Drosophila melanogaster: one gene and its partners. The protein of the gene in region 3 interacts with the protein of the main gene of each other region in a pairwise test. Each region holds a gene or a part of one and is shown on either strand. Other genes may lie near its edges. The genes, in order: CG7352, CG2540, Eno and CG3308.

Region 1 (5,503 bases), on a different chromosome or scaffold from region 3:
TTCTAGGCACTGCTAAACGTGGTCAAAACTAGCCCGGGCATTTTGCCAAAACACTGTCATTTGTGCAACGCCCTTTCACTGCGATTCCGTGTTATTGTTTGTACGCAAGATCACTCCCGTTAACATAAAATAAAACCAGACCAGCGTCAGCTAGCACTCGCGATAGTATCGATAGTCCGATAATGGGCGTGTTAGGGATGTCTTGGTTTCGATATTGCTCGGTACCACTGATTTCGAAAAGAAGCTATTCACACACACGAGCTTCTGCACCAGCGACAAGCTTCCGCAGCACTGGCTTTATCTTTTATAAAAAGATATATATTGGTATACCAGTCAAAATAAACGTATATCTAAACATGTATTTTATGAAAGTTATGTTTTTTGAATGCAATTAGTAAGATGCAAAGAAATAGTTAGTAGTCAATTTGATATAAAATTTCAATTACAGATAACATTTATAGTATTTTTGATTGGACTGCATAAACACTTTCGCGGCAATTATGAAGCGGTTATTAGGCCGAGCTTTCAAAATAATATTAAACCAAATTGAAACAGCAGATGCGCATTCTGTGAGAATATCCTTTCAATCGAGGTTTCCAATCGAGCAAAACAACGAACTGGCAGCACAGGCGACGGTCTGGCATCTTCGCTAGCCTAAATGATACACGTCACGTAGACACAACGGCGCTTAATTTTAAATAATTTATTTTTGGAAGCCAAAAATAAACTTGACCGTCTTAGAATTACAATTTGGAACTATGCCACTGACTAGGAATCGCCACCGCCCCGTGCCTGAGCGTCAATTAGGCAGAAATGCTCCCTATCCGTAGACTTAAGGACATGCTTTGGTAGATATCGAAGCACGGAGGAAGGAACCTGGCTCAACATGGCCAAACGCTCCTGTTTGATGCGTTCCTCTTGCTCGGCATCGATCTTGGCCTTCATGTCAAAGTACTGAACATTTTCAGCGGTGGCCTCCGCCCGCTTCCGGTGATTATCCTCAATCATAGCAAGCAAGGAGGCTCCATGGGCCCGGCGTCTGCGATATTCATCCAGTTGCTTTTCGGAATTCTGGTTGATTGTATCCGGCGCCTCCTCCTGCCGCGTAGCCATCTCCGCCCGCTTCATCTGCATTTCGGCCATCTTACGATGCTTCACCTCCTGTCGATAGCGATCCAACTCCTGTCTGGTGCGCTGGCGAGACATCTGCTCCTGCTGCATCTGTTGGCGATAGCGCTCGTCACTCTTGGCCGTGTACTCCGCCTCCAACAGATCCAGCAGCAGATTGTCGCGATGCCGTTTTTTGTTCTGCAATAAGAGTTAGCTTTATTGATTGAATCGAAAAACCGCTTCAAGACTTACTTCGATTTCTAGGACTTGCTGGCCCAAACGAATGCTGATTTCTTGTTTTTTGCGTTGAATCTCCTGGCGTTCAGCCTCCAGCTGGAGTTTCCTGCGCTCCATGTCACTTTGCTTCTGGACTAAGTCACTCAACTCCTGGTTGTATTGAGCTCGCTGCCATTCTCTGAGTTCCTGGTTCTCCTTGATGGACCGCAGCATGTCCTGTCGCTTTTGTAGTTTTTTTCTCTGCGCCTCCAGCTCCTGGGCTCGATCCTCTTCCTGGATTTGCTTCTGCATCAGAAGGCTCAGCTCCCGGTCATTCATCACCTGAGCGTGCTCTTGCAGGCGCCGTCGGCGGTTCTCCTCCATTTGTTCAGCCAAGGACTCCCTAAGGCGGCGTTGTTCCTCCTTAAGAGCCACTTCCTTCTCACGTTGCCTGACCTCCAGCAGACAGCGCTCTTGGGACACTTCCGCGGCTTCCAATTTGATGTCTAGCTGTCGACGACGTTTTTTCTCCTCCAAATTCTCGGCTATATCCCTGGAAATGGCGGCTAGGCGCAGCTGCTCCGCCAAGTCGCGCAGTTCCTCGCAATCCCGCCGCAATTGCTGGCGACGTTTCCTCTCCACAAACTCCGCACGCTTAAGATCTTGCATTTCCTGCGTCATCGCTGCCTCCTCGATGAAGTCGCGGGTTATGGGACTCACTTTGGAAAGCTCCTGGCTGCGGCTCACCTCCTCCAGGTCGTACTGCAATTTTCGGAACAGCTGTGAGCTGAAAAAGTCGTGCTCCTTGCGCAATGAATGAGGCACCTGGAATAGCGGCTGTCCGATGTTGATAGTGCCACCTTCCTTGTGGTTACCACGATTTCTACCGGTTGCCATGGTGGTCAAAACAATGCAAACAGAAATGGAAACGAGAAACAAAATAAAAAAAAAAAAACCAATATTTATCGACTGGCTACTATGAAAACATTCAATGAACAAATTGTAGTATTTGATTTTATATTTACATTCTTAATTGTGGAGCTATTATGAGCAATATACATTTGGTCGCAATATATGTATGTACATACAAGCAATTAAATTCAGGTCCTTTGTCAATATTTTCGGTGAATGGCAAAAACGATCTTAAAATCACCATTCACTACGAAAGTTTTACTATAAAAGCAATTTAAAATTTAAAATTGTTGGTCATTAGATGACTATATATATTTTTATATATTTTTTTTCAAAATCATAGTTAACAAATTGAATTGATAATGAAGGCGAAAATGTTAAATGCGAAATGTTCTCAGTTGTTGAAGGCAGTCGGGAAATACTTCTTGTCCTTCTCCACGATGCTCTCCAGAAGATCGTCGATGTCAGTGTTGGGGTAGCGCTCCACCCATGACTGGATGTACCCCTCGTGGGTGGGCTCGTAGGTCTTCAGCTGGACCTTTTGGTCCTGGCCGATCGCCGTGTTGGCCTGGACGAGAATCATACGCGGCTTCTTGTGCGCCAGGCAGATATCCCGCCACTTGGCCCACGGATGCGATCCGCTCTCGTCGACCTTCGAGTAGTGTTCGTACATCTTGGAAGCTGCCTCGATGTCGGCGGTGGATTTGTACACCTGCAGCTTGGTCAGGAAATCGCCCAGCGCCTTCCTGCCCACGGTATCGATCTTGCTGCGATCCACCGTCAGCAAAAGGTTTTTACCCTTTTCGGTTTCCTCGACCTTAACGAGTCCTTCGCCTGCCTCCAGCAGCACCTTCATGATCACGAAACGAGCGCGAGAGTGCGCCTGGAGCCACAGCTTGGACTTCGGGTTGAACATTTCCAGAGCCACACCCATGCCGTTCCAGATGAGACTCAGCCAGTTGACATAGATGATGTTGTCCTGCTCGGCTTTGTCCTTGAAGCCAAAGATCTCCAGGATGTCACGCTGCAGGGAGAGATACAAGCCCACCGCCTCGGCGCGGCATTCCTCGTACGAGGAACCAATTGCTCCGAACTTGGTGTCGTAAGTTTCTCCAGGAAGATACCACTTGGTGATGGGTTCACCGGTGACCAGGTTCTTAGTGTTCTCCTTGTCAAAGTTGTACACACCATTTTCGTCGATGCGGAATAGCTTGCCACTACCATGGCCTAGGAGTTCATGGAGGCCCACTTGCACCTCAAAAGCCTTCACCTTGTACTCTTTCATCAGAGTTTGATCCTCCTCGGTGAGGAAAGGAATGGGATCCTTGCGGTTGATGTTGGCCAGCACATTGCCCAGCGAGACGTTCTTGAAGCCTTCATCCTGGCGGATTTCGTCGTAATTGGGAATATTGATGCCCGCTGGTACTCCGCTGCCGGCAAATGTGAGGACATCCAGGGATGTGAAGTCTGGCTTCAGGTAAGAGTCCTTCTCGTAAGGCTCCGTCCAGGGCAGGTACTCTATTAGTTTCTCGGCGCGGTTCACCAGCTCGGAGAATTTGGCCGAGCTCTCCTTGTTCACCATGGCCACGAAGCCCTCGAATTCAGCCCGACCTCCAGCAGGATCCCTGTATGTCTCAATGAAACCAATGTAGGTCTCGATGACAGGTCCCTTGTCCTTGATCCACCAACGCGATCCGTTCTTGTGCTCGTCCAGCGAGCCCTGTTCAAAGGATCGGACATAGTGCTCGATCATCTTGGACTCGTTTTCATTGGCTGCGTATTTCTGGGCCTGCAGCAGATGCTGGTTGACGCGCTGAAGCAGCTTCTGGTAATCACCGCGTGTCACCCTAAACTTGTTGCCATTATACTCTTCCAGCGGAAGTGTGATGCCGTCCTGCGTGGACTCCGCCACGGAGCCCAGCTTTACATCGTAGACGGTTTGACCATTTTCAACTATCTTGAAGGTCCGGCACATGTACGGTTCGATACGCTTTGAGGTCAGCCAAGCGTTCACGATCTCGGAGTCCTCCTTGGTGCAGTTATCCGACCAGTAGGTGGTGATTCCGTCGGGAGCAAAGCCCAGGATCTCGTTACGCGACTCGAGCGCATAAATCAGATTCTTGACCTTCTCGAAGATCTTGCCTACGCGCGGCTCATCGCTGTAAGCAGCGGATGCCTTTACTATAGTCTCAAATTGCTTTTCTGAGAGATTGGGAACGATCTTGCTGTCGCCCATACCCTTGTAGTTGCCCGCGTTGGCGAACACACCGCAGGCGTACACTAGGAAGGCCTGAAAGTGATCAAAATTAATATTTATTTTCGAGAATATGAAACTCTCCTCTGCCATACCGTAAAATCATCAGCAGACACTCCCGCCTCCAGGGCTTTCGCCCTAAGAACAGGAATCTTTTCGGCTAGGAAAATGCGGTGCAGCAGGGAGAAGATGAGCGGCGCCTCCGGACTGGACTGGATCAAGGCAATGAGTCCGCCGTCCCAGGAGGCCTGGCTGAAGTGGTGGGCGTAGAGCTTCTCCTTCTCGGTGAGATTCTCGAAGGCACTCTTGCAGTCCAAATCGGCAATGGGCTGCGTGTTAGGCAGGACGAAGTGCGCGGTTTTACTGGCCATCTCAGCGGGTTGGGGAAGGTTGGTGCTGCAGCTGCAAAGATATCATATGGCGAACCGGACCGATTATATACATGGGCTTTAGATAACACCTGGCAAATACCTGTAACGAACGAGGGAGCTACAAAATCCCAAACTTCTGGAGATTGACGGTTGGACTGAGCGAATACTGGGACTGGTCCCGTAATTTAGACGACTACGGAAATGACACAGCCTGTTCAGTTGCTGCCGGGATCTCTGTAGCCCTCTTAGCCAAAACATTACTGGGAATTTTTTGAGAGTATTCTATTTGAAGACTTTACATTACTTGTCGCCCAACTGGAAAATGTGAAAAGGCTACTTTAATTTGGATGAAAAGCCAAATAACTCGGGGAACACATGAAAACTTGATAATGCAATTTTATCTCCAGCAAGCCGGCTAAACTGCAGATGTGGCAGTTAAGCGGCGTTTTACCACAAGAATATAGAAAACAAAACTATGGCTAAAATGGAGCCCGAAAACGTGAAGAACTGGCAGAGCCCAAGGAAAATGTGAATGTTTAAGAACTACGTGGTTAGTCAATCGCAAAACAAACAAAAACCCACCGGGCATTCGTGTTTTAAGTGGAAAAGATAATCAATAAGTAATTTCGTGCGTACTTAC
Region 2 (6,977 bases), on a different chromosome or scaffold from region 3:
GCAAAATTGAGAACGAGAGCGCCAACGAAAAGGAGCAGGCGATGCTGCTTTCTAGGATTCTCAACGTATGTAAGTATATGCGTGAGTATTACACGTACACACACACACACACTGGCACTCTGACTCTCACTCACACTGCTTGCAATTTATGCTGATTGGAAATGTAACGGAATCAATCGCTGCTCCGCTTTTTGTTTAGCCTACTTCAAGGCGTTCTTCGTTGAATTTCCCTCGTTTTAATGGCACAAAAAAATCTCGGCTAACTCCTGTTTATCCCTGCGTTTGTGTGCATGTGTGTGTATGGCCAGCTGCCATGTGAGCGACTATTGCGCAGGCTTACGCTATTTCGCCCCCAAAAACGTTTTTCGCGTACACGCTGGATATCCTGCAACAACAACTACAGCAACTGCTTGGGCAAAAACAATGCAAAATGTTTTGCGCGCGCGGTCACATGACACGAGTTACACACACATACACACATACAAGTGAAAAATTTGTTGAGGCAGCGCAGGAGCAGCACACACACACACATACCAACACAGCGATTTTTTTCTTTTAAATTGTAGCTTTTCCTCTGGATTTACTTGGCGTAAACATCTGGAACAGATTTTCTTTTTGTTTCGAGATGTTTTGCAATTTTTTTTTATAGATTTTGGCTTAATGGTTGTGGGTTCTTTTTTAGGATTTAGGAAAAAATCAACGCGTGCGAACGCGTCGAATGCTCTACAGCGAAAAACTGAAACTGGTAGCGTTTCCGCGCAGTTTCCACGGCACGTGTTATACATACACGGAGGAGTACACACACACACACAATTCAAACACTCACACACACACAGAAACACACTGGCACGTCCTGAATATCCTGGTTATATGGTTATGCAAAGCACCAACGAGTCCGTATGGTTGTCGCTGGCTTTGATTTCGGATTGTTAGCCCAATGCGTTGGCAACCCTGACCGAGGTTTTCCCTTGCTTTAACCAGGAATCGATACTTGTTAGGAGGCGAAGCTCCCCAAATTGCCTTTTCTCTTTTCTTTTTTTTTTTTGAGAAAGCAAAGTAATAAATCCCACATGCGAGTACATACTAAAAAGTGTAATCTGCTAAAATGTAAATACTGGCATACTCTCACAATTCATAGGTCCTCTCGCTCTAACACACAAACACAATGGTCGTATGGAAATTTGCATGGTAATGGTAATAAGTTATGCGCCGTTATGCTTTATCCTTCTTGTGTGCGAGAGCCCATTATCAATAACTCAGCAAAGTAGGCAATAAAAAGGAGCTCCGAACGACATGGTCAGAGGGGGGGGGAGGTTGGCAACTCTTGCGTCATGTTGGTAATGTAAATGTAGTCCAATAAGAAACTTGTTGGCAAGAGAACAAAAACAAGAACAAGAACAATAAAGATAGAACATTGACTTTCGCTGCTCTGATAAGAATCTGCATGGGAAAGGGAGCAAGAGAGAGGGGGAGAGCTCAAATGATTCATCTGGAGCAGCAGCAAAAACCTAACGGTGATGTGATGGTTGATATTGAAAAGCAGCAAATGCAAACATGTTGTCATTCTAATTTGCATTTTACACACACACATGCAGAGAGAAACACATTGACAAGCAGGGGACATAACATCATCGCAGCAGCAGCAGAAACAAAAAACGAAAACAAAAACAACAGCAACAATAACACATTCCGCAACACAACCACCCACTAAATACCAACCAACCCCCCCGCAAACCGTTAAGCCCCGCCCACCTGTTTCATGGCGATTCACTCCGCTGTTGAACGTTTGTGGCGCTTGCCCAATCCAATTGGATTGGCGAACCGAATCAGATCAGATCGACACGGGGGCGATAAACAAAAAACACAACGCAATGTTTAAACAAAAAGCACGACAAAACAAACGACAATTTCTCAAAATGTTGTCTCAACTGTTAGAGCTGTGAAAACTTCGACGACTGGGCGCCATCGATGAACGGCAAGCTTGGGCATTATCGATATCAATCTTATCGATATTTTCTAGCAGTGAGACCAAAGCAGCACAGCTATATTCTACACGTTCGCTATTTAGGGTATTCCCCGTAAAATTAAATTAAATCTAGAAACTTTTAATTAAAATCCTTTAAGTTACTTGCCTAATTAGATTCATATATAACGTGCCATTGTATTGAAAAATGGTTAATTTACACCGGTGGAAATAAAATAAATATTGGAATTGATTCGAAAAGCTGATAAACGCTATATTGAGTACTATCTGAATGCCGTGATTCCTGAATTATAAATTTAAAGATTAGATATTAATGTTACTATCAACATAGATTTATACGTTCTATCCGGCCTAGAGCGTGCTCTCTATATTTTATGATTTTTATAACTACTATATATTTAATAATTCAATGTTTAATGATACCACAAATCACAAGACAATTCACTTTAAATAAAATCACACAAATGTTTGTTTTAAATTTATATTTAAAATATGTTTTCATATATAATAATGAATAAATAATAATGTTCATGACAGGAAATCACAATCGTAATTGTGATTCGTCAGAAGCCTCTATAACACGTCGTTGCAATTGGTCTATTTGGAATGGTGCATCTAAAAAGAAATATCCCAAGCTTCTTGGTATTTACAATAAACAGTAGTCTTCTATTGCAAAATGTTGTGGTGTCACGACTTGTTTTTAGCTTGCAGTGCAGCGTAGATCAACCACTCGCGGCCGCCAGGTTTCTGACATCGCTCCAAAAGCTTCTCCAGCTGGTGTGCCTGCTCCGCTAGCTGTTCCTCCTCCAGAATACCGGAAATCTCATGCAACAGCGCATGGCGTATTAACTGGGGCTCATCCTCGACAATGTAACGCTTAACGCAAGCAACCAGTTCTTCGAGATGCTCGTCTACAGCTCCCGGAAAGAGCTGATCCATGGCGGCGGCCAGGTTGAATAGGTATTCGCGATTGGGGCCACTGGGACCGGCCGAGCTGAAGATTTGCCTCGCAATACAGGGAACTTGCCACACATCACCAGCATAGGAATCGTTCGCCTGCGTGGCCACGTACATGATCACTTGGATGGGTTCTGCACCGTCAGTCGGATACTCGTGGAACTCCAAGCTGCAGCGCTCATACCCGTTCTTCTCCCGGTAATCCAGATGGTCCAACACAGCACCCTTTTGACTAGCAGCTATGCGATAGGCGACGCCATAGACACGATCCTGGGCGGGATCGCCTGGCAGCAGGGTGACCACGCGACCAGGACGTTCGGGAATACCCCGGTGATCGATGCTGTGCTGGTAGAAGCGACGCTTGAATCCCCAAACGAAGCCGCGTCGTCGGTCTATGTACGGGAAGTCCGTCTTCCATACCAACGACCCATAGCCAAAGATCCAGACATCCGCATCCGTGGCCGCCGGCGGCTCCAATTGATTGCTATTTTCGGTATCGAAAGTGCGTAGCATGGAGAATCCTTGTGTAAAATCCTGATCCGCTGACTTGCATCCATGTTCCCTGGGCTCCTCGATAACGTTCGCGAAGAACTCGGTGTATATGTTGCCGGGCAGCTGATCCGCCCTAGAACCACTGCTTCGCAGCTCCGTCAGGAAGTCCAACATCACCGGTGCTTCGTTAGCCAAAAAATTGTGAAAATTTTCAATTTCCTTTGGCAGCTTATCGTCTAAAGTTATCGACATCAGCTGTTCGATTCCCACAGGGCTGCCACGTAGCCTTGAGTTTTATATATATATTTTTAAATATTTATTACAAATATTAGATTTTATAGTTAAATATGTATTTTTATGTAATTGAACAATCATTTTATTTATGTAATAAACTAAAATGTTCATATGGTATGTTGTTAATATGTATATTTATATTTTTCGTTTTCCGTTACTTTTTTATGTTGCAACAATATAGCCTGGCCACCCTGCGCTCAGTTAAGGGAACAGCTGTTTGCCGCATTATCCATCCCGCTCACACTCGCGTCGCTGAACGAAGGAATAAACAAACCGATTTTGAATCGGAATTACCAGATAAATAACACCCCGGAAACCACACAACCCCCATCAAAATGTCCGGCAAGGACGATCGATCCAAGGAGTACGTGCAACGTAACCACTCACCTCGCAGTTAGCACCTAATAATAACAACCCATCCTTTACAGAAAGCGCAGGAACATGAAGCAGTACAATCATCACCATAAAAAGGATCAAGGGCGCTCCACCACATCGTCGGGATCGCCACCACCCACCTCCCGTCGCAGCATGGTTGATGTGGCGGACTCGAGCGATGAGCCAAGGTTGGCCAGGCGTGGCAATTGGCAGTCCAGTGGAGCAGGCCGCTCATCGTTGGCACCGCAACGGAACAGGGACATGCTGGACACCCTGCCCAGCGACACCGACGATGTGGAGCAATTGGGCCTGGATGGTGCACCCATCGATGAGAATGCCCGTGCCCAGTTACGAGCTGGCGATTTCCAGCAGCTGGCCCAGTTTCCCAGCCTCGGTGGCGGCCACTTCACCTTTGGGTCAGAGCGCGAATGGGCCAACGTGGCCGAGGGCCAGACCAAGCTACACACCAAGGCTGCCAGTGCTTACTTCACCCTGAACCTCACCCGCCTAAATGTGGGTCTGCAAACGATTCCGTTATACAAGCGTATGGATTATCCGGCGTCTTTGTTCACCCGCGCTCAGATTGCCGCCCAAGAGAAGGCCGCCGAACGGGCTGAGGCAGTTTACCAGCAGTGCATTCTGAAGGACGCCAATGGGGGCGCCAAGTCGCGAGCTCCCTCTGCTAAGTCCAATAAGGACGTTGCCCCTGCAGCGGCGGAAAAACCAATTGCTGCCTCAGCAGCTGAACCTGATGAACTTGACGAGCTATTGGCCATGACCGATACGCAACTGGATATAGGCTCTGGAACCATTACGATGCCAATGCCTATGGTGCAGCCGGCCACACCCTCATCGGCAGCAAGCAAAAACGGTGTGGAGGAATGGCTGGATTCCGTTTTGGATGAATAGTTACATAGTTCAGGAGGACTATTACCAGAGCTTTTTACGCTTACACGAAATATTCAAATCACTAAGTGCTTGCATTTTTAGAAGTAGCATCATTAAAATTGCAAAATCTAGAGTTTTCCTCGTAACTTTATAGTTAAAGCTAGAGCCTTTTTATTGTGTATAATAAAATCGTTGATTGCATATATATACGATGCGATTGTTTCTTGAAATAAGTTTCAAAGGTTAGGTTAAGTTATTGAAGATTTCAATTCTCTTCTCATCAAAGTATCTGAATTTATAACAGATTTCTTTGTTTCCGTTCGCTATTACTTACATTGTGGTCCACTTTTGCCTTGGTAACACTTAACCAAATGGCCATGCAAGAGCTGCATAAGCTCACATATGGACTCCAAAAGCACCAGGCGCTCATGCAGATGCCCCAAATCGTTGTTCTCCACCATCAGCGGACGCAGCTCATCAACGATCGCGATTAGCCAGCGAACTAATATCGAACAATCGTCCCTGGCCAGTTTCATATAATCCTCCGGCACATCGGTCTCCTGGCACAGTTGCTGGCCCTGGGCATTGAATGGTCCGATCAGCAGGATGCTGGATATCAAACGGACCACCAGGTGCAGGGAATGCAAATAGGATATTACATAAATATGCGGCTTCACCACGGCAACGACGAGCAGCAGTGTGTTAGCCGGACGCAATCGGTGCAAGTCCAGGCCCAAGTCCGACATATGATCCAACATGGCCCAGAGCAGACAGTTAGCCACAACGCTGGCCATTGTGCACAGCGGACTGGCCACGCGGCAGCCGAGGATCAGGTTGAGCATTGTGCTCGAACTCTGGATATCCAAGAGACCCAGGACATGGACGCATACCTGGTGGATCTGTTGGGCAAAGAAAGGGAAGGATCAAAAAATATATATTTCAAACATATATATGCTTACTCACATGGCTTTCCTCGGAGCATGCCATATAATTGAAGCACTTTTGCAGGAAAAGAGTTCTTTTCACCTGGGTGGCCGACGTGTCCTCATGATGGAGTAGATAAACCATCAAACCGCATACATACACCGCAGCCAGTTTATCTGCTCCGAATTGGATCCCCTCCTGGTTGAGCAGTTCATCAAAACCAGATATAATCTAACGGAACATGTGAATAAATTAGATAATGTGATTATGATATGAATATGGATCACCTCCAGAATATTGCCGGTGGCATAAATAAAGTAGCATTGTTCCCGAATCGCCGATCGACTCATAGTCTGACGCAGCTCTTCCAAACTGAATCCCTGGGGTCGCACCATGTGGCTCATGTTGTATTCTGCCATTTTATCTGAGGAAAAAGCTGGAAAAAGGGAGTTATGCATTACTTTTGAACAGGGAAAAGGCGCCTTCAAGGATTTGCTGCTGCTTCACCTTCTCCTCCTCCTTCTACAAATTAGTGACTGAAAGATATGATGTGTGCAAATAGCCAACGCTATTTTAATGAGCTCCACAACATTTTGACATGTTTTTCAAACACACTTGGCTGCCATCTTGGCCAAGCCGAGTACAGTGAAATCAGCAAGTGGGTACTTTTAATTGAAAAGTCTAGGAATTAACTATGAAGCTTTTGATTTGAATTCATGAACCTTGAACCTATGTACATCTTCCATGATTTAAAATTAATTTTTTGTAATAATATATTAAAATATTATAATTATATAGTTATGTTCATTTTTAGACAAAATACACTTTTGTGTTGAACTTCTAGTTGAATCGCATAAAATTGAAGGACTTAGAGGAGTCGCTGCTATCGGACGCTTACTGTAGTTATGATTTTTCCTGCCTGTGTGTGTGCCCGCCTTTGTTTGTGTGTATTTGTGCTTGTCCTTGCACTGCTTTCGAAAAGGCTGGCAAAATGCAAATGCACGCGCGATGTGCGCATTTTAGCATAAAAGTCACCTGGCCTCCGTTTCCGACTCCCACTTTT
Region 3 (10,637 bases):
CGGAATTATTATAGGTGGGGGGTCATGCTATCAAAGGCCTTCACCAAGGCCACCCGCGTCGATCAAAAGTTGTCAGAAACGGTGAGCTGTTGTTTTTATAAAGTGGAAATCTGGATTGCAGTCATAAGGAGCGAAGTATAGCAAATATTTTCTGTGGAAAAACTATCATGGACTAGGAGATACTTTATAAACAAACTCTATAAACACTTGTTTACTATCCCAAATATAAATATCAACAAAAATAAACTATTTAAAGCTGAGAGCTGTCAAGCATAAATAACAAAGTTCGTATTTCGAGCGTAATTCAATTGAAATGCGATCGTTTCCCGACTGACCAGGGGCTCGACTTGGGATCGATTCTCGATCGCTGGAAACTGGTTTTCCGCTGGGCAAACTAATGTGGAAGAACTAATGTGCCGGCCATTGTGTGTGTAGGGTGCAGGTGAAAACAAAAATAAATTCAGATGCGACGCGTCTAAAAATAGCCGCATATAAAAGCCACAATAAAAGTCCATAAGGGAAACAACAACAAAGCAATTGCCTGTCCAGGGGAATCGGAATGAATCCAAGTGGACATTGCCTGCGGAAAATGAACCCAGAAATGCGCTGTTTATGAATGTTTGTTCGCTGCAGGCGCGCTTTAATTAATTACATATGTTCTGCGTATTTCGCTCACTTTAGCTGCGATTTATCGAACAACAAATACCCTTCTTTTAATGCAAAGCACGTGAACGTAGCATGTTTCCCGAAGATCAGTTTGTGTTGTGTGTTTCCCTGCGCTGGCCGCATTTCTTTTTCGGTTTGCTCCCTTTTGGCAGTGGCGCCAAAATAGTTCAGCTCCCCTTCGTGGGCCAGCCCAAATCTAATCGCCAATTGCGCCGTTCCCGCCGAGCAATTACAATTAGAGGCCGGGAGCAAACCGGTTTCGTTCTACGCTGATGGCCTGACCTGCGATAAGACGCAGTAGGGAGAATGTCAGGCAGGCAGACTTACCCGCCGGCGATCAGGTGGATGAGAGTGTCGGCCGTGTTCTGGGCCATCTTCGTTGTCTTCCCAGTTCCGGAATAGGCTCCACCGAAATGGGCGGCTACTTGGACGCGCACTTGGTTTTAACTTTGGCAAAACGCACTATATTGTTAAGGCACTTTGTGGGCGGAGGTGTGGGGGGCGGGGCCCCAGGGGGAGGGGCTCTTAGCACGCTCTCCTCTCTTCCTCTTGCCACTTTCTATTGTCCTTTGAACTTTTGGGGCTTTCGCTTGGCCGCGATTCTCCGACTTTTCGACTTGATTTTCGGCAACGGTTATGCAACTGCAGTGGTTGCAGTGCTGAGCGTTAACTTAACCTACGGTTAGCTTGCGCGCAGTTAAAGTCCGTCGGTCGGCCGGTGCACTGATTCGATTTCGAGCTCGCCGATCCCTAGCGTTTGTGATTTAGCTTTGCATTAATTTATTTTCGATCCGATGTAAAAAAACACGTCCGTGAGAGTGACCGCACTGCGACTGTGGAAGCATACCGCCGCTGCGAGGCGCCAAGAAACGACCTAAAAAATACCAACAAACTGGGGAATTCAACGGTTCTGTGCGAAACTTTGAGCGCCATTTTGGTCCACCCTAGAAATTCAATTTTATTCACAGAAAGTTGAAAAAGCTTATTGAAATACTCGACTAATTGGTGGAAAGCAAAGATAAAGATAGAAAAAAGATCGTATTCAAAGTTTAATAACTTCATTCATCAGTTCAGAGATAATGAATAATTCAGATCCATTCAATCTTAATCCAAATCCAGAAAATGTTTTAAGATAGTTGCCTTTACTTTAGTTGCCCTTACTTGAGTTTACTTGATTATCTGGCAACGCCACAAGTGATCGAAGAAAAGAATTCAGTAACTTTTATACTTTTTATTTCACATCAACTAACAAATCTGAATATGTTTAATATTTGGTGTACTATTCCATCTGATTAAGATCTCTATTGAACACCGTGTATATTCGATAAGAATATTCCAACAGCTTTCGCTTAAATTCTATGTCTCAACAATTGTTTCATAACCGTTTTTGAAGTGAATAACTTGTCTGTTTGTGGATTTGGTGTTTGTGTAGATCAATTTATAATTTCATAACGATTACAGCGATTACATTGAAGATATTCAAAGCTCTCGGCAACTGAACGAATATCTTGCACATAGTGTTTTTTATTCTTTTGTTTATAAATAATGATTAGATCAAGGTTTAGCATTAATTAATAATGTCTAAGAACGAAGCATAGAGACAGCAAATGGGTTTGGTAGTTTAATTCTGATGTATTTGTGCGCCAGACACAAGTTCCGAACGTAAAAGGTTGACGAACACGTGCACCGCCGCCTTTCCATGGATCTACTGCGTCCAGCTCCCTCTCCAAGATCCAGATCTCATTCGATGGGGCTGGTGTGGTTGGAATTTCGAAGTGCCCTGCGCTTACTGCGGCTTCCTGAACGACTTGCCGGCGAACTTGACGCCAGCGCCGATCTCCTCCTCGATGCGCAGGATCTGGTTGTACTTGGCCAGACGCTCCGAGCGGCATGGAGCTCCGGTCTTGATCTGGCCGGTGGACAGACCGACGACCAGGTCACCGATGAACGAGTCCTCGGTCTCACCGGAACGGTGGGAGACCATGGTGCCCCAGCCGTTCTTCTTGGCCAGCAGATGGGCGGCAATGGACTCGGTGACGGTGCCGATCTGGTTGACCTTCAGGAGCAGGCAGTTGCAGGCCTTCTTCTCCACGGCGGTGGCAATACGCTTGGGGTTGGTCACGGTCAGATCATCGCCCACGATCTGGATGTCGGTGCAGCCGGTCAGGTTGGACCAGGCCTCCCAGTGGTCCTGGTCAAAGGGATCCTCAATCGAGACGATGGGGAAGTCCTTAATAAACTCCTGGTACAGGTTGGCCAGCTTGTCGGCGGGCAGCCACTGCGACTTGTCGCTCTTCTCGTTCTTGAAGTCCAGATCGTACTGGCCATCCTTGTAGAACTCGGAGGCGGCCACGTCCATGCCGATCTCGATCTTGCCGGTGTATCCGGCCTTGGCGATGGCATCGCTGATCAGGTTCAGAGCCTCCTTGTTGGACTGGATGTTGGGGGCGAAGCCGCCCTCATCGCCCACAGCGGTGGCGTCCAGACCGAACTTGGCCTTGATCACATTCTTCAGGTGGTGGTACACCTCGGAGCCCATCTTCATGGCCTCTGTGAAGCTGGTGGCGCCGGTGGGCAGGATCATGAACTCCTGCATGGCCAGCTTGTTGCCGGCGTGGCTGCCGCCGTTGATCACGTTGAAAGCGGGCACCGGCAGGATGATCTCCTTGTTGCCAGCCAGATCGGCAATGTGTTTGTACAGCGGCACGCCCTTCTTGGCGGCTCCAGCCTTGGCCACGGCCAGGGAAACGCCCAGGATGGCGTTGGCTCCGAACTTGCTCTTGTTCTCGGTGCCGTCCAACTTGATCATGAAGTTGTCAATGGACGCCTGGTCAACCACATCCAGATTGGCCTTGATCAGCTCGGGTCCCAGGGTGTCGTTCACATGGCCCACGGCCTTCAGCACCGACTTGCCATGGTAGTTGGCCTTGTCGTTGTCGCGCAGCTCCAGGGCCTCGTGGACGCCAGTGGAGGCGCCGGAGGGCACGGCGGCTCGGAAGAGTCCCAGCTCGGTGGTCAGGTCGACCTCCACGGTGGGGTTGCCACGGGAGTCGTAGATTTGACGGGCCTTGATCGCTTTGATGGTCATCTCGTTGCTGTCACTGAAATCAAAAAACAAAAAACAAAGTCCACGAGGGCGAATTAGTGTCTGTTATCAGGACTTTAAATCTAGGCATGGTGTTCTATTAAATAGCTGACCGCAGATGAAGCCATTCAGATTTTATGGCGGATGTGCTCCACAATATTTGCGAAATCCCCGCCATTACTTAAATAGTTGGGCTTATTTATATTTAAAATTGTTCCAAATGGACAGTTAAATGATATGTTTCGTGATGCAGTGAAATATTCGGAAATATGTCGAAAAAGAAATACGAACTAGAAAGGAAATGGGAGATACACCTTTGACATACTTTTGGACTTGGTTCTCAAAATATGGTTAGATATTAATAAAAAATTATTTTTTTTTGCAAAGAATTGTAGCTGTGAGCATGTAAGTCACTTGCAATTTGAGCTGTGAGTGGTGTAAACTTATACATATATCCCCATTCGGGTGTGACTTTCTCCACGGTATAATCTCGAAATGCCCCTCCTGAGTTTTCTATATTTAATTTGTCTTCAAATTTCAGTTAAATATTTCTATAATAATTTAGAGTCACTGACACTGGCGGCATTTCCCGCTTTTCCGCTTATCTCAGTGGGAGAGTTTTCAGTTTGCTCTCGCCGAACAACCGAATGACCTCTAAGCTACTTTTAAAGGTCAGACCCAAAGTGAGGCGTCCAGCGAAGCCGCAGTACGTGGAAAAGTTGCGAAAAACGGAAGTATCTCCCTACAGCGATACAACAAATGCCTGTCAATTGAAATTATTAGATTTGTGCAATTAAATCGATTGGAAATATACGTAAACGAGACACTTGAAAATTTGCACAGCACCATTTGTTAGATAATCGCGCGGATATCGCTCGCAAAAAACGCTCGATTTTCAAGCCCTTTCGATTGGGGTGATCTTTGTGAAGTTCGCAGATAAAACAATTAAATATTTTCCCTAAGCTGGATGCACAAGCACACACCAAGAGTCTAGCAATATACATACCAAGTACTTTTGCGGATCTGCACAAATTTAAATCCAGATGAGAGCTGGCTGACTGCTGATTTGCTTCTGAAACGCGGCGCAACGTTTGCCGATTTATTCTGGGGAATTCTGGGGAGAGGCCAGCGCAGACGCAGAAACTTCATGCTAGTGGTGGAAGTCCTCAAGAAAACTGAAGCGGTCCAAGACATGGCTTGAATGTGTAAAAGACGGCGGCGAAAGTGCTACCAATTTGTATCTTGATAAAGGAGTAAAAAATATCATTTAAAATATATATTTTAGTTACCTTACATGAAACTATAGCTCTGTTGCAAGCTATATGATAAATTTAATATTCATAAATTTTAAAAGCTCAGCTTAGGCGATGTATTTTTGCCCATCTCTAAGTGTGGAAAAGAGAGGGACACTTACATTTACTCTCCTTTTATATGTATGCGTTTCCAGGTGCTCGCCGGTTTTCAGTGTGGGGGTGCGCTTTCCCTTTTTTGTTGTTTTCCCTGGTACGTTTCCTATATTTTTTGGGGAAAATTGACCTTCGCACAAGGTTAGAGTAATCGGGATCCACACGTAGCTGTGGATTGCATGTCTATCTACATAATAATAAATGCTCTCGTTAATAAAGCATAAACAATCAAATGGCGTCAAGAGAAGTGTAACAACCAATGATAATGAAATGTTCCCGTGGTTTCTGGACAATCGGGTCATTCAAAGTCACATACTTGTGGTTAGTCACGCTTTTTAGCTGCCATAAATTAGAACAAATAAATGCAAAGCGGATTTTAACAAATCGTACGATTATGCTTATAGCAGCACAGCTGATCGGGAAAAAATTGCATATGTGTTGGTTAACATTGCCGCCCACACGCTGTTAGCTCTTTAAAACTTTCTTTGCATTTTTAAGATCATTCAGTAATATAGAACAATTACAATTTGACTAAATATAATTTTTCTGTTACTTTTTTAAGTTCATCTTAATAATTAAAATCGTAAGCATTTTGAAAATAATAAAATAAGAAGGGGCAAAAATAATTTGAATATTTATGTTCTTTACAACTACTGTTAAATTTAACTTTAAGACCAGGGCTGACAATGGCAGTGTTGGAAAGTCCTCGACTTGACCATATGTTTTGAAAGACACACGCGGATTTTTTGTTTGGAGTTTTCAAATCGTAAAAGCAACATTAAAATGAGCGCGACCAGCACAATAGTTATGCCCGGTGAGCGAATTGCGGCCATTGAGGAGCTGGCCAAGAGCAAGCGGGTGATACTCGGACCGGGACTGCGGCGTCTGGATGACACGGTGGTGGCTAGCAAGGCGGGCCCACTTCGACACAAGGAACCCGGCACCTTCTGGGTGGACAACTACCAGAGAAGGTACATCCCGGCACGCGGGGATCTCATTCTGGGCATTGTGCGAGCCAAGGCGGGCGATCTGTACCGCGTGGACATCGGAGCAACGGACACAGCCTCCATATCGTATCTCGCCTTTGAGGCGGCCAGCAAGAAGAATCGCCCGGATCTGATCCCCGGTGATCTGATTTACGCGAGAGTCCTGAATGCAAGCGCGGACATTGAACCGGAGCTGGTCTGCGTCAACTCGGTGGGCAAAAGTGGCAAACTGGGCGTCCTCACCGATGGATTCTTCTTCAAGTGCAGCCTGAATCTGGGAAGGATGCTGCTGCGGGAAAACTGCCCTGTTCTCGCCGCTCTTACCCGGGAACTGCCCTACGAGATCGCTGTGGGAGTCAACGGCAGGATATGGTTGAAGGCCCATTCCCTGAAAGAAACCGTGGCCCTCGCCAATGCCATTTCAGCGCTGGAGCAATCGGGATGTGCGGAAATCGACAAAATATGTGGCAATCTCGGAGACTTCCTGCAGGCCTAGGATTAGTTCTTAGTTTACTTACTTTTATATAAAAAGAAATGGTTAGCCAAACTGATGGGGTTGAATTTTGATGTGAATGTTGGCGCAAAGGCAGTGTGTTGGAAGCCCTGATTCGTTTACGTAAAAAAACTATCAGAGATGAGCAGATGGAAGCGTTTTTCGTATCTTGGATTATGCTCTACATGTTCTCTCAAGAAAGATAGTACTACCCTTACCTAGCTACCAAAAGGTATTTAAATAATATAGCATCATTCAAAAACCAAGTATAAGGGTTTTATGTCAGATAAGGTGACTACTTTCCGCAGTCACTGCGTCACCTCTGGTGCCCACCAACAGCTGATCGATCAGACCCGCTCGCAGTGATTTCTGTGTGGCCAAGAACAGGTTTCAGTGCCTTCCGTTGCGGCAGAGGACAAAGGTTTCTCCGACCCAGCCGTGCCATACAGAGCCAACGAGATGAGCTTCCTGGAGTTTCTGCTGCTCCTGCTCGTGCTGTACTATGTCGTGTACGTGCTCCTCTGGATCCTGCTCGACTGCAATGTGGCCCTGTGGTACAAGTCCCGTTTCGGAGTCTCGCTGTCGTCGATGCGCGGACAGGTGGTTTGGATAACTGGTGCCTCGAGCGGAATTGGCCGCGCTTTGGCGCTCAGCTTGGCCAGGCATGGAGTGAAATTGGTGCTAAGTGCCCGGCGACTGGAGCAATTGGAGCAAGTGCAAGAGGAATGCCTAGCTGCAGCTCGCGGACTGCTGGCCACCAAGGACGTGCTGGTCATTCAAATGGACATGCTCGATCTCGACGAGCATAAGACGCATCTCAACACGGTGCTCAATCACTTTCATCGACTGGATGTCCTTGTCAATAATGCTGGCCGATCCCAGCGAGCCAGTTGGACCGAAGTCGAGATCGAGGTGGACCGGGAGCTGTTCGAACTGGATGTCTTTGCGGTGGTCCACCTCAGCCGCCTGGTGGTGCGCTATTTCGTGGAGCAGAACGGCGGTAGAGGACACATCGCTGCCACCTCCAGCATCGCCGGCTTCAGTCCAGTGCCATTTTCACCCACCTACTGTGCCGCCAAGCACGCCCTTAACGCCTACTTGCTCTCCCTGAAAGTGGAGATGCGCAAGCTGGATGTGTCGCTCTTCGCACCGGGACCCATAGCCACCGATTTCCTGCAGGAGGCCTTCACTGGCTCGCAGGGCGGAAAGGTGGGTCTGAGTACGGCCAATCAGAAACGGATGACGGCCCAGAGATGTGGCGATCTGTTCGCCGTTGCCTTGGCCAATAAGATGGATCTCACCTGGTGCGGCCTCTTTCCCGTCAACCTCTTGGCCTACTGCGCCCGGAATCCCACGCTGAGCAAGATTCTGGCTCAATTGATGACCGAGAAGACGCTGAACAAGATTCGCGAGGGCAAACTGTGAGAACAACCCCGGTGTGCCTCGCCCCTTCCCTATTCCTGCTCCAAACGGCTCTCAGTCATCTTTTATACTGTTGTATAATTCTTAACTATATACTAAAATATATAAATATGTGCACAAGATTAAGTTGAGTGTGCGTTTCAATCGCGATAATCTTCACAGGCACAGTGGGATTCTACAGTTCCTCCCATTCAATTGGTGAGCAATATTGTGGTAAGCTAATAATCAATTAAGATTTATGAATTCTAAAATATTCTAGTTAACTTAAGTCATTAACCAGTAATTTAGTAATCTATCATCTGGTTCAGATGCATAGATTTTTTTGCCATTATAGAAGAGGGCATATTACACTCAGGTGGCTAGTTAAAGCAGCTCCTCCCACATTATAATGATTTGTCAAGACTGCAGATTACCTTGCATTATCTTATATTTATCTACTTGATCAACCATTCTAATCTAATCTTTTCCTAGCGCTGCCTTGACGTGCGCTGGGATCTTGACTCGTTTTCGTTTCGCCTTGGTTATTGCGGTCTGCTCAACTCCTTTGAGCTGTTGCTTCGCCTTGTCCTTTTTGCTCTTCTTGCAGGACAATGGATTGGGGTTCTTGGGCCCTTTGTGCTTCTTGGGTTTGACTGCAGTTTCAGCTGGCTTCAGTCCCTGCTTCTCCTTCATGTAGTCGATTTTCTCGACCTGTTTGCCCAGCATTAGGTTTTTGGCCCGTCGTTGCACCCACTTCTTGGAGGCTTTAGATGGTGCTTCCAAGACGGGAGTGGCTTTGTGCAGATAGAGCAGACAACGTCCGGGAATCTTGCGAAGACTCTCCTGCAGCAGACGATCTTGCGAGGCAACCACATAGCGATTGTCTTTGGTCTGAAAGGCAAGTAATCATTTTATGGCTATAGCATACTTGAAATCAAGTAACTCTCAATTTACCATCGATTTGATGCATTCGGAAGCGGGGACTGGTTTTCCTTCGTGTCCGCATTTGTGGACATGGAATCGCTTGACGATGGATGTGGCTCCAGTGAGAGGAGCACCCAGGGATTCCGACTCCAGAATAACACACTGGGTGGTCAGTAGCTTAACGCCGCACTGGAAGTACTTTTTAATCTGCTCATCTATGCCAATCTTTTGCTAAAAGTAAAAATTAACTATGGATATCAACAAGTGCTAGAGATGATATAAGCAATAACCCACCTGAAGGGCTGCTTGGCAAAAGGTGGCATCAATTAGCACTTGGTAGGGTTCCCGGTAGTCGAAATTGCTGGCAAAAAACACCAGAGTTTTGTGCGACTTCTTAAAACGAGATATTTTCATGATATTTGCGGGTGGGTAGTCACCAAGTTTTATCAAGTAAAAACAAAAACAGCGTGCAAGTACAGTGTTGAACAGCGTTCAAGCTCAGCTGTTCTCGCCTAACAGACTGTGTGCGCACAGCAGCTCTGTTGTAATTTATAGCCTGCTGTTATTTGAATTCGAAATGTTTTACATTTGGCGCCAAACCGGAAGCAACAGAGAATGCATTTTCAACCCTCTTCAAGCAATTTCCCTCCCTTTCTCTTTTCCGCAGCTATTAAGCGCTTTGTTTTCATTTCCCTTCGCGTAGTCAGTTGGTTTTCCATTGCAGTTGCAGGCGCAGCAAACAGCGCATAAATAAAATTCAAATTTTAATGACAGAGCCTTCAATTTCAAAGTGCCAATTTATACAGTAAGTTTAAAAGTTAAAGTGAAAAGTGTTTAGCAACTAAAGAGTCAGTTAATGAAATGTTTAGATAAAAACTGTGTGCGAGGACTTTTGAGTCCTGTGAAACGCAGTAATAGTTTGAGATGCCAGGTCGTTAAACTGCGCATATATCACATTTGTGCCGCTTACAATTTTCATACTTCGGTTCTTCAGTTCTCTGCTTTGTTTACGGCGTACATCAAGTTTTCCGACCTCCGGTTACCTCTAACCCTCTATTGCGTTTCTATATCCTCCCCCTGGCCGCTCACCCGTGATGGGTTTTCCTCTTTGGTCATTTTCTTGTTTTTTCTTAATCTGCTCAATTGACATACAATTGATGGATTTCTTGCTAATCATGCTGATTGGATTTAACCAAGGTCTTCTTGCTCAACTATTCTATCTTTTTTATAGTACATATAGAAAAATAAACCAAATATCAAATATTATTTAATTATATTTATATTTAATCATCATAATTAAGTTTTGCCATAACCTCTAGATACATAGTTCGATTTGCGAATGGATACAATGTTCGCGCAGTTTTTTTCCGTGAACGATAAAGAATATTGGTCAAGTTTGCCTATAATGCCATGTCGATAAAGCCACCAGTTGCGGCAGCTGTGTGATCCAGTATTGTTTTTCCTCGCTTTTCCAGCGTTAATCTCCCAAGGTTGGGCCATTGACAGCTGTGCTCGGTTGAAGGTTGGATCGTGGGTGCAACTACCTCTGGGATCTGGGATCTGGGGTCTTGGGTTCCTCGGATGGATCATCTTCACTTTCCACGTCTCCACTTTGCGGCTGGTTCTTGCAGTTTATTCAACTTTCCGGCTACGGAGCACAATGAAATGACCAAAAG
Region 4 (8,716 bases), on a different chromosome or scaffold from region 3:
ACACAGTTTTGGTTATGGTTTCTCGATTGGGTCGGTTGTTAGGTCCGAGTGTGTATTTTGTTTTTAGCAAATGGTCTGTTTTTTTGGAGTTGCCAACGAGGGCAAAAGGGAGTGGAGTGGGGCTGCTCGATAATGAATGGGAATGAAACGTAGCAGAAATGACGTCGCAGAAAAAATAAAAGAAACTATTTTCGAAGGCCAGAAAAGGAAGTGGAAGCCCAGTCACTGTTTTAACTCCAGATAACTGCGCATAATTACGTGTGACGACTTACTATTCCGGATTCACAGATGACATTTTCTGGCTTTTTCACAAGATTATATATTTGCCACGAACAAATATTCGATTTCTGGCCCTGGACTGGCTGCTGTTCAGAGTGTTTTTATTTGATTTGCGCGTTCCGAAATACTGGAAATCGACACGCACTCGGCTTGTGTTGTGTTTTGCAGTTCGCTATTGTAATTATTGCAGCGAATTTAAATGGGAAATACGTTTATTTCCACAAATTCGACGGCCGAGAACGAGAACAATGGCGACTGAAAAAATGACGAAGTGGCATTAGCGGCAGTGTTGGAAAATGCGCGGGGCCCTCTTCCAACCAGGGCTACACATTATCTTGTCTACGGAGGTGAGTGGGCGGAACCAGAGAAGAAAATATATGGATTATCGCCAAATGACCCCTAACACACCCCATATAAAAACAAAAATACTTAACTTTTGCATACAATCTCTTATGGTACATCATTTGTTTCTAAACACGGCCTTTAACATTTGAGTGTTTGCATAGAGAACACATTAAAGATAATAATAATAATACGCGTAATAGTATATGAAAGAAGATTCGATAGGCGGGTGTAGCGCCTGGGGGAATGCATCTGGCAGATCCGATATACATATGTATGAATTGGGCCGCTACTCCAGCGAATTTAGCGTGAGCAGCTGCTTGAGCACCTTCGTCTGCGAGGTCTCCCGGATCTCGCCCGCCAGGAACATCTCGTCCACCACACTGTACACCTTGTAGAAGTTGAAGACCAGATCCAGCTCGCACACATTATGGAAGTATTCGTTGAGCACCTCCACGAAGTTGTGAATGGCCTCCAGATAGCACAGGTTGTTGTCGTTTACGTCCACGCAGATGCAGAAGTACAGACCCGCATAGCGTCGGTAGACGATCTTGAAGTTGCGGAACTACAAAGGCAAAAGTGTGATAAAAGGGTGATTCAAAAGAACATATGGACTCGATCCCACCTCCACAAAGTTGGTGTGCTTGGCATCGCGCACTGTGACCACGGCATGCACCTCCTCAATCAGTTTCTGCTTCTCGTCGTCATCGAAGTTCATATACCACTTGGCCAGGCGAGTTTTTCCAGCTCGGTTTTGTATAAGTATGAATCGTATCTGGGCGAATGGAAGGTCAAATAGGGGTCTAAGCTTATAGCTGGCTAGTTGCTTACCATTTTTCGGGAAATTGGTTAAACCGTTTCCTGCTTATTTACAACTTTTTTTGTTTCGAGAATGGGGGCGAAAAACTGATTATGAGCAAATTGTGTATCACTGGGACCAGGGCTACCACTACTGTTCCGGAACAGCTGTTACCTCGTCAGTGTTGCAAACAGTTCGCGCAGAAAGCAAACGAGTTGGCAGACCCGCGCGCTGTATTACGAAGTTTCACTTTCATATTTGTTTTGGCCACCACTCCAAACTAGTCATTTACCAAAAATGTTGGCCTCTCGCTTGAATCTCCTGTTGCCCCGCGTATCCTGGCTGCGCGGTTGCTCAACGACAGCGGTGGGCCAGAAACATCAGCGCCAGGTGCCCACGGAGTTCGCCGTACACGATCCTCTGCAGGCTCACGCTCTAAAGGAACAGTGCATCCTGGTTGACGCCAACGACCAAGCCATTGGGGCCGCCTCTAAGGCAGACTGCCACCGTGTGCATCCAGAGACGAATGATGTTAAGCTCCATCGCGCCTTCAGTGTTTTTCTCTTCAATTCTCAGGGAGAGATGCTAGTGCAGAAGCGATCGTCTCACAAGGTGAAATTAAAGGGTAATCCCCTTATTACAAGGTCCATAATCCTCTGTATCCTTAGATAACCTTCCCAAACACCTACACCAACGCGTGCTGCAGCCATCCGCTTTACGAAATCGAACAGGAACGTCAGGAGCGCAACGCACAGGGCATCCGTGTGGCCGCTCAACGACGTCTCAACTACGAACTGGGCATTCCCACAGAGGAACTGCAGCCACAGGACTTTCGCTACCTGACCCGCATCCACTACGCAGACACGGGCGACGGCGTGTGGGGCGAGCACGAGATAGACTACATCCTGTTCCTGCAAAAAGACGTGACGCTGCGTCCAAATAGCAACGAGGTCAGTGAGGTGCGCTACTTGCGCCGCGATAAGATCGACGAGGCGGTGGCGAAGTTTAGTGCCCCGCTGACACCCTGGTTCTCTCTGATTCTGCAGCATCGATTGAAACTCTGGTGGGACAATTTGCACCAGCTGGAGCAATTTGAGGACTTGAGTAATATTCAGCGCTTTTAAGTGTGCTAACCAACCAAAAATACACGTAATGACGTCTAAAAGGGGCTTTTGTTCGTTTGGGTTTCAAATTCGCTTTATTCAAATGGAAAATAGTGTGTGTCTGTGTGCGGACAATGGGCACAAAGCGGATTTTATGCAACCTCCGCGGGTCGATCAGTTCAGTACAACGCTTTTGTATATGTAAATATAACAATACATATATAGTTTGTATAGGCGCACGATATTCAATATGTTTCATAGCCTAACTAATGTGTTTGTATGTTGAATATCAAATAACTAATTAGCTTTTAAAATGATCACATTACGTTTCCCATAATCATCATCATCATCGTCATCGTCGCAACAAGAATAAATATGTACAAAAGTACGACTACAGGCTAACAGAGACACAAACTAAAAGTATTGATTCTAGCCTAAATACAGAAGAAACAAACAAAAGACAAGCTGCAGCACTTAACATTAACATATATCGCTTCGGGAGCGAGTTCGAAGCGCGCGCTTCGAGGCGTGAAGTGCAGACCCCGGGCGAATCCGGAGTCGACGTTCACGAGGCACCACCTTGGCACCGTTTCTCTGGGTACTCGAGTAAATAAAGCAATTGCTCGGAAATTCCAACAACTTAAAGCTAGACCCTGCAAACTTCGATCGATGGTTTGCACCTTTACGGCAGGGGGTGAATATATAGTTATATACGTATACGTACTTTTCGCATGCAATGGGGGTCGTATTTGTGGATGTGTGTATGTGTGGGGATCAGGATAAGCGCTTCATCCTGAATTCGATTAGTGGTTAAGGCACATAGGTATGAGTCTATCGTGAATCTCAGGCTCGTTGAATCTATAGAGTTACGGGTTTAAAGCTGCTGGGTGGCACACTTTGTCGTTCAGTTCCATGTGGCTCCTTTACCATTTTCTAGGACAAGCCAAACAGTTTCAGGGCATTAAAGGCAGTGGCCAAAGCCACCTCGTCCGGGCTTTTCTTCATGAAGGCGGCTATCATCTCTACAATGGCGGGCAAACTGCACGGCTCGTTGCGTTGGAAGGTACAATATCTGGAAGGTATTTTGAACTAATAGAAGAGTGACCTATTTTGGTACTTTTTACTTCGCCCACCTGTGTAAGTACAACAATGAGCGTTCGGTGATACCAGTCTTCACGTGTTGCGGTAGCTTGGAAGCCCTTGTGTTTGGGTACATGAAAGGAGCATCCGTCTCCACCAGTAGTCTGTCTAGCGGCAATGTGCCGTCCTCCAGCAGGCGGCGAACGCCAGTATCCGATTTGTCCTTGCACAGGTAGCCCGTCAGGCTGATGTAGAACCTCCGGTCTAGGTACTTAAGCGCCTCCTCGGCGGTGCCCATAAAACCTCTGATGATCACAGGCGGAAGATTCTCGAATCTGCGCGGGGAACAATTTAAAGTTTTGTAAACCAAATCTACGGCTCTTACTTGTCTAGTATTTCGAGTAAATCGAGCTGAGCCGACCGCTCGTGGATCAGCAGAGGTTTATTTAGCCGGATGGCCAGATGCAGCTGCTTGGCGAAGATCTGCTTCTGGGCGTCCGGTTCGGAGAAGTCCCGCTGGTAGTCCAAGCCGCAGGGGCCAATCGCCACACACTCCTGCGCCTGGGCGATGTGCTCCAGATCGAACCACGTGGCCGGCTCTTCCACGATGGACTTGGAGTCGTGCGGGTGAATGCCAGCAGTTGAGTAGATTATGTCGGGATAGATGCGCGAAAGGCGCAGCGCTTCCTTGCTCGATTTGACCGAAGTGCCGTGAACCATTAGTTTCTGGACACCTGCAACAAGAAAGGCGGGAGAAAGTTAGTGCAACGTTCACTGGGCTACAGACTTGTGTACAAAAGAGAAAATATGTGACTTCTGTTTGCTTTCGATCAGATACTCTTATCAGCATTGTAATGTATCCCTTTAAGTAAATGTATTTAAAAAACAAATTTTTTGTTGAATATCAAATCAAATATGTAAAGAGAATTTATCTCTTACATATATTTAAATGTTTATAGTTTCCTTTAAAAATTTATCCTATGCAAATATTGTTGTGTTGACATCTTGGTTATTTGGTTTTTAATCTCCAGCTACGTTCCCATTGAATTTGTAATGCCATCTCCCAGGGCACATATGTACATGCATACATATATCAAAACACAGGCACACTTGTTGCTCGCCAATAGCCCGACCTTCTGGCTGTCTGGGTGTTTTCGCAGCCTCGCCCCAGAACGAAGACACTGCCCGGGTCTTATTAATTATGCCTGCACATGTAGTATCTGATGCTGGCATACAAACCTGCGTCTCTGGCTCTCTGCACCACGGAATCCAGATCACGGCTATACTTCTTGTTGGTCAGATTCGCACCCACGTCGATGACGATCAGGTTCTCAAAGCAGTGCTTCATGTCCAATTCCAGCTGATCCTCCAGCAGCGGGGCCACGGGGGCCACCACCGTCTCCTGGGGCGTCTGTTGACTGGGGTCCATGTTCTGGATCGGAATCTTGGATCTATTATCGACGAAAATAGCTTATGACGCAGGCGATGGATTGCTGGGCTGCGACTGTGTGCGTGGGTAATTCAATTAGCTTGTTTTTGAGGGCGCAAGGAAACGCGACGGCGGTGAAAGCCGTGAAATGTGGATCTACTGAATTTGTTGGAATTTGGAAGAGTTGACCAATTCGGCAATCAATGGTCTAAAAGTTGAGAAATATTAATCTAAAAAACAATCCCGACACGAACTACAACTGCTGGCTAGAGTTGAACAACGTCTGCAGAACGGGTCAGTGCAGGTACTACACTCTGCATGCAATCGATAGTCGGAATCGATACGTAGCACCAAATTATATCGTGTTTGAATTTAAATTGTTATCAAAATAAATATTATGTAATAAAATTCAGTCCAATTATTTGATATAAATATATTTGTTTCATGTATATAGTAGAATTCCGATCATCAATAGTAACATCTTAAGACAAATAATTAAATATTTCACAATACCATACCAGAAGTCGCAACTAAATATAACTGAGTCGAATTTTTTGTTTCGGCAACAGTCATTGTTTTTGGGGATTTAAAACCCAAGCCCACACACTTGCACCGACCCCACCTTCAGTTTTGGTTAAACAAACGAACAAATGAGAATAATGTTTTCATTATATTCTTTCCAAACACCTGCAAGATTATTTAACTAAAACGATTCATTGTATTCAAGTGCGATTGTTTATTTATTTGAGTTGGCCCACACAAAGCTTGTTCATTTTTTTTTATCAAGAAACAAAGGTTTAAACAAGTTCGCCCACGGCTTGATAGTGAGTGTAATATGATATTGCACCGGCTCAATCCTCTATTCTCAGCTTGTGTATGCCGGTGTTCCATGCCACTGATTATTTACGTATCTACAATGGTTAGCAGATGCTCTAAGGGGGAAACTCATTATAATAAACACATCCAACCTACTACTTCCAACAGGCATATTATATTGAGTTCCCCTGTTGATAAACTCTTGTCGGAAGACTTCTGCAATGTACTCCTGGTGCAATGGTATCTAGAACGGTATTGTTATCAGATCATCCGAGTTTCCCTCTATCATAATGTTTTTACTTAACATCAGCACCACCCAAACTCTTATCGATTCAAGAAAATGTACCAAAAAGGGTCACCATTGGTGACATCGCAGGGGGAAAATGGAAGCCAGCTTGCTGATGGCAGTGGAGGAGTTCATCTTCTGGAGACAGTTCACCCTTTTGGCTGGAACTATCAACCACACTCCCTTGGCCATCAGCTGCAGACAGCACTCATCTGCATATGTCTTTCGGCAGTGCGACTTGTTTTCGAATTAACTCTTATCTTTTGGGTACATTTTTAAAATTATAAGCATAATCGTCTGGGGTGGATTGACTACTTAATAGATAATTCCCAATGTCGCAGTATCATTGGAATTAATTGGATTTTTTTTGGATCTGAAGAGACCATTAACAATTCCTGAATAATAAATTCCTATCTACATATATTTCGGAGTCACCCTAATCGATAAATAATAGCGAGGGTGTTTGTCTAGGTAAATTTTGATATCAAATATTCTTATTAAAAATGGGTAGATAAAGATTTATACCGGATTATTCATCATTAAAAATGTTCCCGACGAACAAACGGGTTTAATAGAAAGGCGTCTTGAACGTTGGGGTAAGCAAAAACCAGTTGAGCCCGGTTTCCATGTTGAGATAAAAGAGCGACCTTGGGTGTATTTTTTCTCTATTAATTAAACATGTACATTTTTTATTTGTTTACACTGCTATTGAAAAGATATTTGTGTATTTGTTCAAATAACTTACTTGGTCACTTGGAAGTGGTCACTTCAAAAGCCCTCACCAACCGGCTTGATTATGAGCTCCTTTATCTGGACAGTTGGGGGCGTCTGGATGCAGTAGGTCACCGCATCGGCTATATCCTCCGATCGCAGCATGGGCATGCCTGTGGGTTGCTCCCAGGATCCGGCTTCGAAAATTTCAGTGGCCACTACACCAGGACTGATGCTCTAAAATACGTACATCATTAGAAGTTCTCATGCGAACTGGATGAGCAAGGTCACTTACCGTGATCTTTGTTTGAGTGCCCTTCTTGATGAACTCCTGACGCAGGATTTCGGTCAAGGCGGTGATCGCGTGTTTGGAGGGCGCGTACATGTTCAGGCTGAAGCCCTCCACGGCCGGAACGGAGTGGCCTACCACACTATTGATGACTACCACATGACCGTCGTTTACCTTGCGGCGCTGCAGCGATAGGAACCACTGGCGGGTGCACCAGGTCACTCCCAACACATTCACGTCCAGAATGGCACGCACATCAGCGGAATTTTCCGGGTCCGTGATGTTCATTTGACGTATGATCCCGGCGTTATTGACAAGCACGTCGGCACCACCCAGGGTGCGATCGATCCAGGCGAAGGTATCGATGACCTGCTGTTCATTGCTGACATCACAGGGGCGGGTGTGGAAGCGAGCAGCCTGATCGGCGGGCAGGGAGGATTTGATGTCCTGGAGGACCTTCTCTCTCCTGGCCAGGCCCACCACTACCATTCCCTTGGCCACCAGATCGCGGCAGCAGGCTGCTCCGATTCCGGCGCTGGCACCAGTGACTACGGCAACGCGATTCAACCAGCGGTTCATGGCAAGTCTGTTTGATGTGGTTTCCCAACGGAGACTAGGTTCAATGTCTATTACTTTATACCCTACATCGATGTTAATCGGTTATCAATAGGCGGAGCTTTTTGGTGAAAAGTTTACACACAGATAGCTTCAATAAATCCAGTTGAATGGGGTTCTCGAGAGCCGAGTGACCAGACAAATTCTTAAGTGGAATTCATTTTATTTTCAAGAGAGCGGCACCATTACCAATTATGATCGCTATCTATGGATGACTTCATATTTATACCCATCAAGAACATTCTCCATCGTTATTTCGATTTGCTATTAAATCAAGTTTGCCTAAAAGTATTCTTCGTTTCGGGCAAACTTCTAGAATATTTAAAATCGATTGTAGTCCATTTGCAAAACGTAAATGATGCCCAAATTAAGATATTAAAACTTTAGTTTAGTTTGAATTTTTATTTATTATTTCTGCTAACATGCATGTATCTTTGGTGTTAGTTCTATGCGATAAATATACATATATATGTCTGCATAACACATATATTTACATATATAATATTGTGTTGCCATTAATGCCATGCTTTCGGTTTAACTGGTTAACGCGCGATCTCTGTTAAATATTTTGTTTTTTTTTTTTTTGTATTCCGCATCGGTAAATAACGAACATAATGCACATGCATGTGAGTATGGGTATGCTCTACGTTTTAAAACTTTAAAACCTAAAGTTCAAATTGGGGTATTCGATAAATATTACTTTGCTTAAATCAGCCTGCTCGCAACTTTCGGGTTCTTCTTTAAGTGGAATCGAAAGCGGGAAAGGACATTCTATTGCGCGCCCTTCGTACTTGCAGCATATAATATGTATGTATTTGTATAAATGTAATCTCTTGTTTACTAGACGTTGTTGTTCGCTTCTGTGGCTGCTTGCCACATATTGCCAGCTTGTGAGTCGCTAGGCCTATATAAATATATATTTGTATATTTGAAATATATTATTGATATTCCTCATTGTAGATGCTTG

What was found.
Region 1: the proteins of Eno (region 3) and CG7352 interact in a two-hybrid assay, tested with the Drosophila melanogaster proteins (one large-scale study listed by BioGRID).
Region 2: the proteins of Eno (region 3) and CG2540 interact in a two-hybrid assay, tested with the Drosophila melanogaster proteins (one large-scale study listed by BioGRID).
Region 4: the proteins of Eno (region 3) and CG3308 interact in a two-hybrid assay, tested with the Drosophila melanogaster proteins (one large-scale study listed by BioGRID).

What each region holds. Positions count from the first base shown.
Region 1 is NT_033777.3:8,344,484-8,349,986, reverse strand, and holds CG7352 (uncharacterized protein), read right to left. Parts: upstream 2,269-5,503; 5' UTR 2,224-2,268; coding exon 1,363-2,223; intron 1,309-1,362; coding exon 769-1,308; 3' UTR 691-768; downstream 1-690. Other genes in the region: DppIII (dipeptidyl aminopeptidase III), read right to left, coding at 2,633-4,528, 4,588-4,894, 4,964-5,121.
Region 2 is NC_004354.4:12,626,589-12,633,565, reverse strand, and holds CG2540 (uncharacterized protein), read right to left. Parts: upstream 3,689-6,977; 5' UTR 3,608-3,688; coding exon 2,672-3,607; 3' UTR 2,455-2,671; downstream 1-2,454. Other genes in the region: Aven (apoptosis and caspase activation inhibitor), read left to right, coding at 4,063-4,091, 4,156-5,011; CG15728 (uncharacterized protein), read right to left, coding at 5,317-5,889, 5,954-6,145, 6,202-6,333.
Region 3 is NT_033779.5:1,722,889-1,733,525, forward strand, and holds Eno (enolase), read right to left. Parts: upstream 6,749-10,637; 5' UTR 6,640-6,748; coding exon of another isoform or gene 5,941-6,639; exon of another isoform or gene 5,844-5,940; intron 5,576-5,843; exon of another isoform or gene 5,415-5,575; intron 5,345-5,414; 5' UTR 5,166-5,344; intron 4,993-5,165; 5' UTR 4,946-4,992; coding exon 4,758-4,945; exon of another isoform or gene 3,865-4,757; intron 3,768-3,864; coding exon 2,453-3,767; 3' UTR 1,880-2,452; downstream 1-1,879. Other genes in the region: Rim2 (replication in mitochondria 2), read right to left, coding at 994-1,040; Rrp40 (ribosomal RNA processing 40), read left to right, coding at 5,941-6,639; CG31937 (uncharacterized protein), read left to right, coding at 7,096-8,061; CG17652 (uncharacterized protein), read right to left, coding at 8,515-8,928, 8,992-9,192, 9,256-9,375. UniProt on the Drosophila melanogaster protein: Enzyme of the glycolytic pathway. Glycolysis is essential in glial cells but not in neurons; neurons rely on the citric acid cycle for their energy needs, and on lactate and alanine secreted into the hemolymph by glial cells to fuel it.
Region 4 is NT_033777.3:21,268,499-21,277,214, forward strand, and holds CG3308 (uncharacterized protein), read right to left. Parts: upstream 5,320-8,716; 5' UTR 5,033-5,319; coding exon 4,843-5,032; intron 4,338-4,842; coding exon 3,989-4,337; intron 3,939-3,988; coding exon 3,657-3,938; intron 3,596-3,656; coding exon 3,457-3,595; 3' UTR 2,580-3,456; downstream 1-2,579. Other genes in the region: Rab1, read right to left, coding at 273-295; AP-2sigma (adaptor protein complex 2, sigma subunit), read right to left, coding at 911-1,186, 1,247-1,396, 1,453-1,455; Idi (Isopentenyl-diphosphate delta isomerase), read left to right, coding at 1,718-2,032, 2,089-2,544; CG3301 (uncharacterized protein), read right to left, coding at 6,903-7,082, 7,141-7,713.